Linked DNA regions of Oryzias latipes. The main gene of each other region encodes a partner of the protein of the gene in region 3 in a complex. Links are inferred from orthologs where the notes say so. Each region holds a gene or a part of one and is shown on either strand. Other genes may lie near its edges.

Region 1 (3,753 bases), on a different chromosome or scaffold from region 3:
TTGCATCAATCAGTTGAGTGAAGTATTTTGTTTTAGTGTTAGAAACCAAGTCCTTGTATTGTAAAATCCGTTCATTGTATATTTCCTTATGGACGGGAGAGCCAGTTTTTTTGCAGAGCCGCTCCAACTGGCGGCATTTGGCTTTCATTTTATGGAGTTCAGGGGTGAACCAGGGGGAAGATTTAACAAATAAAACAGACCGGGTTTTTACAGGAGCGAAATTGTTAAGAACATCTAAAAGGCAGTTATTATAAGAAAATATATAGAAAATGTGACCGGAACTTCTTTTTTATCACTGTGGATTATCACTTTTTATACCATGGTCCGGTTGAATACTCAATTCTGATTGGCTGCTGGGTATGCATTAAAACATGATAACCGCACGGTGAAAAAAGAAGTTCCGGTCAGCTAGCTTAAACGTTTTGTATCACTGCGCCAGCTTCTTTAAAATAACCTTTTGCTTCATCATCTGGACAAAAACAAGCGGTAAGAGGTGATCTTTCTCTCTGAACTGATGCTTTATTCAACCCATCGGGACGATCAGCATATATATATATATCGCCGAAACTTGACTGCAGTGGTGCTGCAGATGCGCTGCATAACGTAACATATAGTCTGCTTTTTGTGAGAAAAACGATCCAAATCGAAAAAAAAAAAACAAGAATTAAGGACTAAAACCTGGTTAGTATGTATTGCTTTTGTAACTGACCATGGTATAAGCGGGTTAATGGCCTTCGAAGTGTGCATTTATTACTTTTTAACGCGCTTCGCGGAAGCAAAGTTCAGGCTTCCACGGCGTGCGTTAAAAAGTAATAAACGCACACTTCGTCGGCCATTAACCCTTACTTAATGCACACCCAGCAGCCAATCAGAATCAGGTATTTACCTGGACCATGGTATAAGTTTTTCTAACTTTGTGGTATCAAGTTAACCTAAATGTCCCTAGCTGATGCATCAAATTCATCACATGGAACTCTAACTCTCCAACAATACAGTAGAAATCTTAAGCAGTTATGTTTTTTGGTGGATGCTGCAATGCAACAATTACTTTCAAGCATACAAACCTGCCTGTGAGCACCGAGGGGCGTGCCCATTGTTACCAGGTCGTCATGGATACTGCGAACAGGAGGAGCTCCACTCTTGTCTTTAGGTGTTGGGACAACAGGCTGCATGGGTGAACCGACACCGCCTGGTCCTCCTGCAAACACAGTTTCAGGACAAATGACCGTACGGTTATCCCAAATGAGGCAGCGGATGCGTCCCCCAGCTCACCTCGGTGTGCACTTTTGCTCTCTGAGATGGGGGTGGACAGGCTGAAGGAGCGGGGCTGTGGGCTGGCAGGAGCAGGAAGATCCCCCAACAGGAAACCAGGCAGAAACTGAGCTCCAGAGGTTGGTTTAGGAGAGGTGGGAGAACCCAGACTCATTGGTTCAGTACCCACTGAAACAGACAACATTTTATGCTCAGGTTAGCAGCAGCTTTCTGTTATTATGCAGCAAGAACTGGAACGTTCAAGATCTTTGTGTCTTCATTTTCTCACCCCAATTACCTTTTAGGCCAGGTAAAAATCAATGATCAGTAATCCAAAATAATAATAAAGAGTAAACACCAAGGACGACATCCAAAGCCATCTTTATGACTTCCTGTAACAGAGGAGTGACCTTTCTCAAAGCGTGTCTTGCTTCTTTTCGGTCTACTCCTGCCTTTGGTGCTTACCACAGGTGGAAACCATCAGCAAGCCGGACACCCCTGCCTTAAAGTATGCTAAACTAGACATGTTTCAGCAAGCTAAGTTCGTCCAATCAGCATCCTATATGCTGCTCTCTGGCGTTTGTATGAAGGAAATCCATCGCTTCAAAATGGATTTTACTTTAAAATTCATCCAAAACAAAAGAAAAAAAACGTTGAAAAAAGAAAAGAAAATTGTGTTTTGTATTAAAAAAAAAAGAAAGAACGGCTTTAAACTAAATAGTCAGGACTTAGAAGAGATGTCCTCCTCTGATCAGCCCATCGAGGGGCTGTGACTGTTTTTGGACGGATTTATTTATTTTTTGCTGTAAATATTACACTTAGAAAAAGTTCTTTTGGGTAGGAAAAACGTTTTAGAGGCTCTTTGAGGCAGTCTGATTCACCCCAGCAGATCACTTTGACCCATCTATTGAGAGCTACATTAGAAATGTGAGGACCAAATGTCTGAATTATAAAACTTTAAAGCATGAGAAGTTAGTGAGACGTTACTTTTCATAGTGTGTAAATGGAAAAGTGAAAGACTTTTCTTCTTTTGAATCAAGATAAACCTCCGGTAAAAAGCCACTGCAGCACATAAAACATAAAGCAATCCGTTATGAAACAATAAGTGGATTGGTTGTTTTAACAAACCAAAGGTTGACCAAATGTTAGCTAGTTTACAATTATCTTGTCAGTCTCTAGTAGAGAAAAATAAACGTCGATAGAAGCTGCCAGGAAGTACCGGATTAAGTTAACTGTCTTTAAAGTGTTTGCATATTTTCCCCATAAACAGAATAATTTATTTAAAAGTCGGTGTACCTTGTAGTTCCATTTGAGCTTCTTTAGCCGCGATTTTCAAACGTAGGAAGTGACGATGGAGAAACTGATGGCTAGCAGAGGTATTTACCCTCTAAAATTCAGTGTTCTGATTCTTATGTCTGTTTATATTCAATAAATAGTTACAATGAAGGTTCGGTTTCAATCGATGTATTAATCGATTGATTATCTGCTTCCACAAACCCAGTTCTTCAACTGCTTAATGGATCTCTAGCGTGGGCTGACGCTAAAGCAGCAAGCCGCTCGCTCCAGGCTCTTCTAGATGACGTCATTGACATGATGCATTCAGGTCTGTTGTTTTAAATAGTAATTGCTAGATCCTCAATATGAAAATACGACATTGTGTGTAGAAAAACTATCGGCTTGGGGCCTTTGTATGAAAAGGCAGACACATATATTAAGCTGAGAGCAAATATTACCATAATAGATCGATAGAAATCATGGTTCGAATTATTTACGTTTACAAGATTATGAAGATGTTCTTTGAGCGGCATCTGTCGGTATGCAGTTAAGTTACGTATGAACTAATGGGTAAATTCCAAGAAGCAAACATGTTTTAGAATCAGTCTTTTACAGTAAAAATGTCCTTGCTGTCAATCTACCCGTGGTTCTGTTCGAAATTTTGATTTAACAAAACCCGAACGCAACAAAGTACGTCATAAAGACGTGTCTGTCTATTTTCAAGTTAATCAAACACGTCCATCATAAAGCTTCCGGTTTCAATGTAAATGCGCATGTAAACCACAGCTGCTGAATTAGACCTAATACATAATTTTTAATGGAATATAAACTCCTGATCAAAATCTTAAGATCAGTTAAGAAAATATGCAACAATTTGGATTTATGAAAGGTTCTAAAAAAATGGGTCTTCAACAAAACCCATTTCCGTTATTCTTTTAAATTAAATGGTTTGTACAGAAAGTTTGGTTTCTTGTCCCCACTTCTTATTCTTTTACGTTATAAAGTTTTACTTAGAACCTTGTTATAATCTAGACAGAAAAAAATGCAAATTCATGCAGTTTCTTAACTGGCCTTCAAATCCCACTTTGACGAAAATTGTGATTTTGTTGTTTTTGTGGCATTTGTATCATGATGAGGACATAAAACAAGAAAGTTAAGCTCAAAATTGCATTTCTGAGAATTTCTTTATTCAAATTGTTGTGAATCGGGAGCAGACCAAAAACGCTG
Region 2 (3,753 bases), on a different chromosome or scaffold from region 3:
ACATGATGTGTGTCCTTAACATGCTTCCACTAACTGATATAAATAATGCAGAACATGTTTTTTTTTTAATAAACATGAACCAGTGTTACTGCTTTACTTGATTTTTCTGATGAAACTTTTTAGCTTCCGTCCAGATGCCAAGAAAAAAAGAACATGTGACCGAAGTATTTTTTTTTTGTATAGCCTCCATGGTCAAAGTGTCTCTATGTGCCATATCTTGTATTCCTCAAATAAAAAGCTGCTCAGTTTATTCTGTGCAGGCTCCAATACTGGTTTTAGCACTTCATCTGTGATTTAGATTCTTTCATACTATGTAATAATCCATGTGTATATATCAGGCTGTTGAGATTTTTCTCCTTTTGAGTTTTTTTGTGTTATTATCTTTTCATGCAAACTAAAATTCATTATGTACAATAATTAAACTGAGGGCTAAACAAATCCACACGTTTTTATAATGTAGTTGATTTCGATTAACGAGAACAAGCGAATAAATTGGTAGCTTCCGTCTCATATGTTACAAGACAGTGTTATGCAATGTCTGTAGTTGTTTTTGAAGGGAATAAATTATTTTGTTACATTGATAAAACCAAAACAGATCATCCTCACATGCTTACGACTGGATTTCTTTGTAATGCCACATTTCAATCAACATTTTCATCTTGGAAATTATTGCTGCAAATGTAACCATTGAGTATCCTGCCTGTTCACCTGTTTTTGAATGTTACTTTTGATCTGCACACAGAAATAAAAAGTAGCTTAAGTGGATGTGTACTTGTTTTTTGTCTTTTTGTTTTGGTCATATTTAGTAAATATTTTTTCAACCCTGCCATTTTCATAATAATGAATTTATTTTTTATTTGTCATTTTAAATATAATTAGAAAAAGACATGTTTTATAGTGAATTAGGAGGGAAGAGGAAATGTTGTGTATTCTGTGTTTTTCCAAATAAACATCAGGAAAACTATGAGCCTGTATTAGACATAAGGTCTATATTCTAGTATATTGAAATCTATTCTTCCTTTGGAAGGGATCCAGTTACAAATTTTACAAATATTCCCTGTTAAAATAGTTTTTATTGTAATATATACTGTCAGATGTGCATTTCACAAGCTCCATTACATTTGTCTGCACTTGTTGAGAATTGTTTTCAATCAATTTGTTTTTTGTTATTGATTAATTTAGTTTTGTGGCCTAACCCTGAGCAGTACTGAGCTCCTTTGGAGCTTCTTGCCGTTGCGGGTCATGGTCAGCAGGTGGCGGTACGGAGCTTTTTTGACGCTCGCAAGCCGTTGCGGCTCCCGGTCACCAGGTGGTAGGACTGAGCTCCTTTGGATCCTACTCGCTCACTGTTATTTCTGAAGAAGAAGAAGAAGAACGCTCCCAAAGCAGTCAACATGGCGTTCAGTTTTGGCGGTGCCACGAGCAACACAGCACCAAGTATGTCTGTTGTTTGTGAAGTTTTATCATATTTATTTAGTTAGGAGTAAATATATATTTATCGAAGCTATGCTGTCATGTTTTTTGTGTGTTTATGTCAGTTATATATATGCTGTGCTAGCGGATCACAGCAACTGCCGTTAAGCTACAGTTACGGTCAATTGCGAAAACTGGCTTTTATTTTTTTACGCAATTAAAAGCTTTTGACAATACTTAAAATAGCACGGTTTTGTTGAGCTATGTGTACTTAGCTGCCGTTAACAGCGCTCTGTATCATGTGTCATTGCAAAGGTACGTCCGGGTTTTCATTTGGTTCCTTTGGTGCCAAGACAACAGCGTCCACATTTGGGTTTAACCCGACAGCCATCACGACCACCGCCTCGTCCGGGTTTGGCAGTAAGTCTGCGTCTTCAATTCATTTAGATGCTGTGGAAAATGTAATATTCGGGGGCTTTCTAACCCATTCCTGCTCCTTTTATTTGCTAACGAAGAAAAAAAGCACATGACCAGTTAGATTTATTTTTCATAACTGCTCTGTTGTTAACCTGCAGAGTCTTAAGTCTTAAATTTTTATAACAGATGAATATTTTATTATTAAACAGCATAATCATAATTAAAAGACTACTTGGTAACGCGTTTACAATAGATCAACAGGTGATCAGTGGGGCTTGAACTGAAATTCCTTTTAGCCTGGTGGTTGTGGGAAACTGAATTCTCTACTTGCTTGATCCATTGGAGAGAATGACTGTTTAATCCACTGAAAGATGGACTAAATTCAGGTCTAAAATATCTTAAAACAAACCAGAAGGAACTCTGATCATGATGATGTACTTATTTGTAGTAGATTGAAAACCAAAATAACAAAATCTCAGTGCAGTGGAATAAAATTACAGTATGTACAATTTAAAGAAAAGAAAAGAAAACTGAGGCCAAACAAAACCCTACATTTTTATAATCTTGCTGTTTCCAATTTATGAAACAAGTTATGAAATAGATCCAGATGAATATTTTATCAAATAATAAACATGCTTGTGGGTTAGTTGCCCTAAATAGGGCTAGTAAACTATATTTGATCATTCATTTGATTGTTTAATTTTACACTGTTTTTTATATCTTATTTATTTTGAGGGCAGGTTTCATATCTTTGATGAGCTGCTTGATTTGTTTCATAGCTCTTACAGCTCCTGGTTTTGGGGCAGCCACCACCACCACCGCACCAGCCACAGGATTCGGCTTTGGCTCCACCAACACTGGTAAGATGCGGCACAGAAAGAGCTCGTGTGTTGCTTCTCAAGCTTATTTTTATTACAAATTCCTCCTCTTCTTCTAAATGTATGCCAGGCTTGGCTTAATTTCTTGTAACCCCTCCGTGTCACTCTCTGTTTCTTGCTGCCTGCCTTCCCCGGCTGCAGGATTTGGGGGGCTCGGAGCCGGAGGCAGTACGGCTGGTGGGTTTAGTTTTGGGGGGTTTGGTTTAAATGCCAACCCAGCTGCAGTGAGCTTTAATGTGGGGTGCTTTGGTACAGCAACCACCACTGGCTCTGTTTTCAATTTTGGTAATAGCCTGGCTAGCACAGGTAGATGACTTTTGTGATTCAGTTCATTGTGTGTCTGTTAAAAGAAAAAAACACATCTTCATTCATTTGTCCACTTTCCCCCCACATTTCACTTGATGCTTGATTGTGTGCTGTTCACTTGGTTTACTGTAGTTCCACTTGCATAACATTTGTGCAATTATAAGCTGTTCATCCCATATGGTTTCCATTTGACTGTTAGTTTCCAGAGCAATGCTGTATTGATGTCTCGATTTGTTTTCTTTAAAAATTGTGATGTTGTTTTTGTGTTCATTTATGGTTCTATTCTTTCATTTTTGCTTCTTCTTAAGGGTCACCTCCTTGTATTACATTTATTTGTATTTTCTTCACCTCCCAGGCGCTTTTGGAGGCTTTGGGGCAACAACTACAACTGCTGCTGCACCGGGATCCTCTTTTAGTTTTGTCAACCCCTCCAACACAACAGGTCAGCACCAAGTTCCAAGAAAGAGATCAACTGTGCTCGTCACACTAAAGATGAGCAGGAATCAGTCACCCTTTGGAGAAAAAAAATGGCCATTTTAGTTACTAAATTCTGCATAGATGTTCCACCTTTGTTTAGTTTAAACTACTAGTTATGTCAAATGCTTTTTATTACAAAATATAAATGCTTTAGCGATGGAAATGTAGTAAATAAATCAATGTTTTATCATATTTGCTTGAATCAAAAATGAAATCAAATTGGAAGATTGTTTACAATTTTATGTAGGGGTAGGGGTTGTTT
Region 3 (3,653 bases):
ACACTCGCAAGTTTGAATCCACGGATCCACGGGAAGCTCTGCAGTACTTTTACTTCCTACGGTAAGTAATCCATCTCCCTTCCTGACCCTTAGCTGCTTTACTATACATCGACATATCCAATAGATGTCGTTTTTATCGTCCTGCAGTAATGAAAAGGACAGCCAGGGAGAAAACATGTTCATGCGGTGCGTCAGTGAACTTGTTATCGAGAGTCGAGAGGTGAGTGGACCACGGTTTCCTACCAAGGCTTGGAGAAATATGTCTGCGCCAATAAATCAGTGCTGTTTGACCCAGTCAGTAGAGCTGGATTTGATATCAAACTCCCTCCGCTGATGGAAAAAAGAGACGGTTTTAGTGTCGCCCATTGGCTATATATGAGAACTGGACAGAGTGAGTGTGATTTCACATATAGAAAATGGTTTAGGCTACGTTCACACACACGTCACACACATGTCGCGCGTTCTTGTACGTGCGTTTAGCCCATGGCGTTTACACTTAATGAGTAGGGAGGGGCAACCTGTTCTTTATCGTTTTTTTTTTTACTGTTTGGAAGAGATTTGATGCAAAATGTGGAAGCGGTGCAAATGCCGCGAGGCCTTTTTCTTTCTCAGCTCCCTTCTGATATGTGAAAGACTTTCTCCAGCCGGAAAAAACATACAAAACACAATTATTAATTTCTCCTTCATGATCAATTTTCAAATGTGAATTTAAAGGGACGCCATCCATACGTCAATACCAAACCCAAGTCTCTGATTGGTCAGTTTGGCGCATATATGAGCATTTACATTGACTTTTCATTCAAGTTGGTTGCTTTAACGCGTGTTGCCAACGTAGCTTCACTTCCCGCCACAACCAAATGAAGTTAATTCATTTGACTTTTTCTTTTGGCGATGTGGACATTGCTGCCATGTTGGAGCCCGACAACCTCAGTAAGCATTTGGTCTGAGTCATTGTCTCCATGGCAACCACTCTGCCTCTCAGCTTTGAGCGCGTTTGAAGTCCACACCGCTACCTCTTGAAAGCAGGCTAAACGAAATCTGTCAGACGTTTCAAACGCTGGCCTTGGGGCCCAGCAGGCTCCACCCATTTCTGTCGATCTGATTGGTCAGTTTATAACTTAAATAACTTGAAGTACAGAAAAAATAAAGGCAGATTAGCAAGAAAATGTAAAAAAAAAAGGAATGGATTTTCTGACCAATAGAATGACTGAGGAACAGCTGTTGATTGATGGGATTTTGGCTTCTTGGAGCCACTTCCTGTTTGGAACGCCATGGGGGAGGAGTCACTCAGTCCAGCTGTCATATAAAGTCAGTGGTGTTGCTGCACCAGAAGAGACATTTTAACTTCAAATTGGATCAACATCCTGATTTGGGCATTGTACCTTAAAATGAAGAATTTTTGTGTTACTAGTCACAACCTATTTGGTGTGCAGACTTTTGAACTATCTTAGTGAAGCGTTTTTGAATTTTCTGTCAGAAAATTTGACTTGTGAAACACGAAAAGTGCGACTGAGATGTTGCTGCTTAATCTCACAGCACAGATGAACCGTTGTGACTGATTTTTTTTTTTTTACTTTTCCTCTCAGTTTGACATGCTGCTGGGGAGATTAGAGAAGGACGGCAGTAGGAAGGTAAGAAGATTGAGTCAATCTCCCCTCCTCATTTATTTAATCTAGCTCTTTCTATTTGCCCCACACCTTCTCTCCATCTCTTTTCCTTCATCCGCTTCCAGATTTTTCTTTCTTTCCTCTCCTCTTTGTTCCCGCCCGGCACGATGTTCAGTCAGAAGTCGTCTCCTACACATTCAGCGCCTCACATCCAGAGAAAGCTGGTCACCTTTCAAGGATCAGAAGCCTCAAAATCTGCATTTAAACCTACATTTTTTCTCTTTACATTTCTCACGGCGCCTGCAGCACTCTCTCTGCGTGACGTCTGAAGCTGCTTTTGTTTCCGCACATTTTTCACGGCTGTGTTTTATCCCACACTCTATTCTGGGTACTAAACACATCCAGAGTGCGGCTCTGAACGCGTCTCACGCGCGGTTTGATTGAAGGCTTTGTTGGATTAACCGTCGAGCTCCTGGCAAGTTTGAAAATGTGTGCCGGCGTGTTTTGATGTCCATTCAGGAGAAGATTACGTTTAATTTCCTTCCTATAGATGCTCCACATACAGAACATACGAGGCGGACAAAAAAATGGAGATGGCTGCGTTCTGCAGGAGGCATCAGCGTGAACTCCATGACTCTTTCAACACACGTCTTTTTACCCATGTTGATTAATTACTGATAAGAAATTCTAATTAACTCCATGTATGATGTCACCTTCTTCTTCTTCTTCTTCTTCTTCCCTCTTTCCCACGAATCTCACAAAAGCAAACATTGTGCCTGACCAAGCATTAAAACTCATGTACTACCTGTTTTTATTTTAATTTATTAGATTTTTATGATTTGATCACACAAAATGTTCTTTTTTATATCAATACTATTATATTTTATTGAATAATAAAAAGCATTCACATCATAGATAATTTAAATCAGAAAAATAATATGCTTAGTTTGAGTTTATTTGTTTATTTATGAACAACGGATTTAAAAAAAGTTTAGAATAAATTATATTTGAAGAAAAATATCAATTTATAATTTCAAAAAGGATCAATTAAGATCTATCATTTTACAATTATTTTAATTCCAGCCTTATTTAATATGATCAGCATCTACGGTGTATTATGTTGGGAAAACTGACAGAAGCCAGAATTACTACATAAAATTAAGTAAAATAATAAAACATTTTTTGTGTGTCTGGTTTAATTTTCTTTAAATTTAAATCTTTATGTAGAAACGAATTAAGAATCTGAGGGGTCATAGAAGAAATGAGAAAAAAATTAATTCAAATTAAATGCAATTCAGCAATTTTTCCATTAAGTTAGAAAATGATAGTCATATTCAGTCACATAAATGTCTTCATGTGGTTAAAAACTATTATGTAACAACATTTTAGTGAGATCAAATCAAATGAAACTTTATTTATAAAGACATTTTCATACACATGCAACAAAACCACAAACGGATGTAAAAACAAACAAGGATTTATGGATCAACTGACTGTTTTGAGAATTCACAGAGTTAACAGGTGGAGAAGGAAGCGGAGCCGTCTGAGCTAACAGGACAAAACTGGATTTTGATTCACACTCCAAACCTCCGGCTCAGCTTCTCCTCTCACTCCTCTGATCCCCTCTCCAGCCCGGCGTGATCGACAAGTTTGCCGGAGACACCAGAGCGATCATCAGTAAAGTGGCCTTAGAGGCTGAGAACAAAGGCCTGTTCGAGGAGGCGGTCAAACTCTACGAGCTGGCCAAGGTGAGCAGAACTGCTGGTCTTTGCTGCTCTCCGCCGAGCCGGTGGTCCTGAGTTCCATTTGTGCCCCCGCAGAACCCAGACAAGGTGCTGGAGCTGATGAACAGGCTGCTGAGTCCGGTCATTGCCCAGGTTAGCGCGCCTCAGTCCAACAAGGAGAGGCTCAAGAACACCGCCGTGGCCATCGCAGAGAGGTGAGGGGACGCCGCAGGTGCGCGCCAACAGTGACGCTACGGATGCTAAAAATGACCCTCCCTGTGTTTCTGCTGCAGGTACCGCTGTCAGGGGATCGCAGGGGAGA

What was found. The genes of interacting proteins can lie anywhere in the genome.
Region 1: the proteins of nup93 (region 3) and nup35 are in contact, whole or in part, in a crystal structure (PDB 7MW1), measured with the Homo sapiens proteins. The link is inferred for Oryzias latipes from reciprocal best matches to the Homo sapiens genes NUP93 and NUP35. Residues at the interface, in NP_055484.3 of Homo sapiens: Tyr266, Tyr269, Asn402, Ala407, Asp408, Lys409, Thr410, Glu411, Tyr413, Tyr448, His452, Phe453, Val455, Asn456, Leu461; in NP_612142.2 of Homo sapiens: Ala88, Pro89, Pro90, Val91, Arg92, Ser93, Ile94, Tyr95.
Region 2: nup93 (region 3) and nup54 share a complex: the UniProt entries of both Homo sapiens proteins name them as parts of the p62 complex. The link is inferred for Oryzias latipes from reciprocal best matches to the Homo sapiens genes NUP93 and NUP54.

The regions. Positions count from the first base shown.
Region 1 is NC_019879.2:12,115,226-12,118,978, reverse strand, and holds the start of nup35 (nucleoporin NUP53), read right to left. Parts: upstream 2,841-3,753; 5' UTR 2,561-2,840; coding exon 2,548-2,560; intron 1,441-2,547; coding exon 1,273-1,440; intron 1,199-1,272; coding exon 1,065-1,198; intron 1-1,064. UniProt on the Homo sapiens protein: Functions as a component of the nuclear pore complex (NPC).
Region 2 is NC_019870.2:10,484,462-10,488,214, reverse strand, and holds the start of nup54 (nucleoporin p54), read left to right. Parts: upstream 1-1,250; 5' UTR 1,251-1,394; coding exon 1,395-1,437; intron 1,438-1,728; coding exon 1,729-1,833; intron 1,834-2,609; coding exon 2,610-2,690; intron 2,691-2,849; coding exon 2,850-2,885; intron 2,886-3,369; coding exon 3,370-3,456; intron 3,457-3,753. UniProt on the Homo sapiens protein: Component of the nuclear pore complex, a complex required for the trafficking across the nuclear membrane.
Region 3 is NC_019864.2:28,049,364-28,053,016, forward strand, and holds part of nup93 (nuclear pore complex protein Nup93), read left to right. Parts: coding exon 1-61; intron 62-147; coding exon 148-220; intron 221-1,586; coding exon 1,587-1,631; intron 1,632-3,238; coding exon 3,239-3,355; intron 3,356-3,427; coding exon 3,428-3,546; intron 3,547-3,624; coding exon 3,625-3,653. UniProt on the Homo sapiens protein: Plays a role in the nuclear pore complex (NPC) assembly and/or maintenance. May anchor nucleoporins, but not NUP153 and TPR, to the NPC. During renal development, regulates podocyte migration and proliferation through SMAD4 signaling.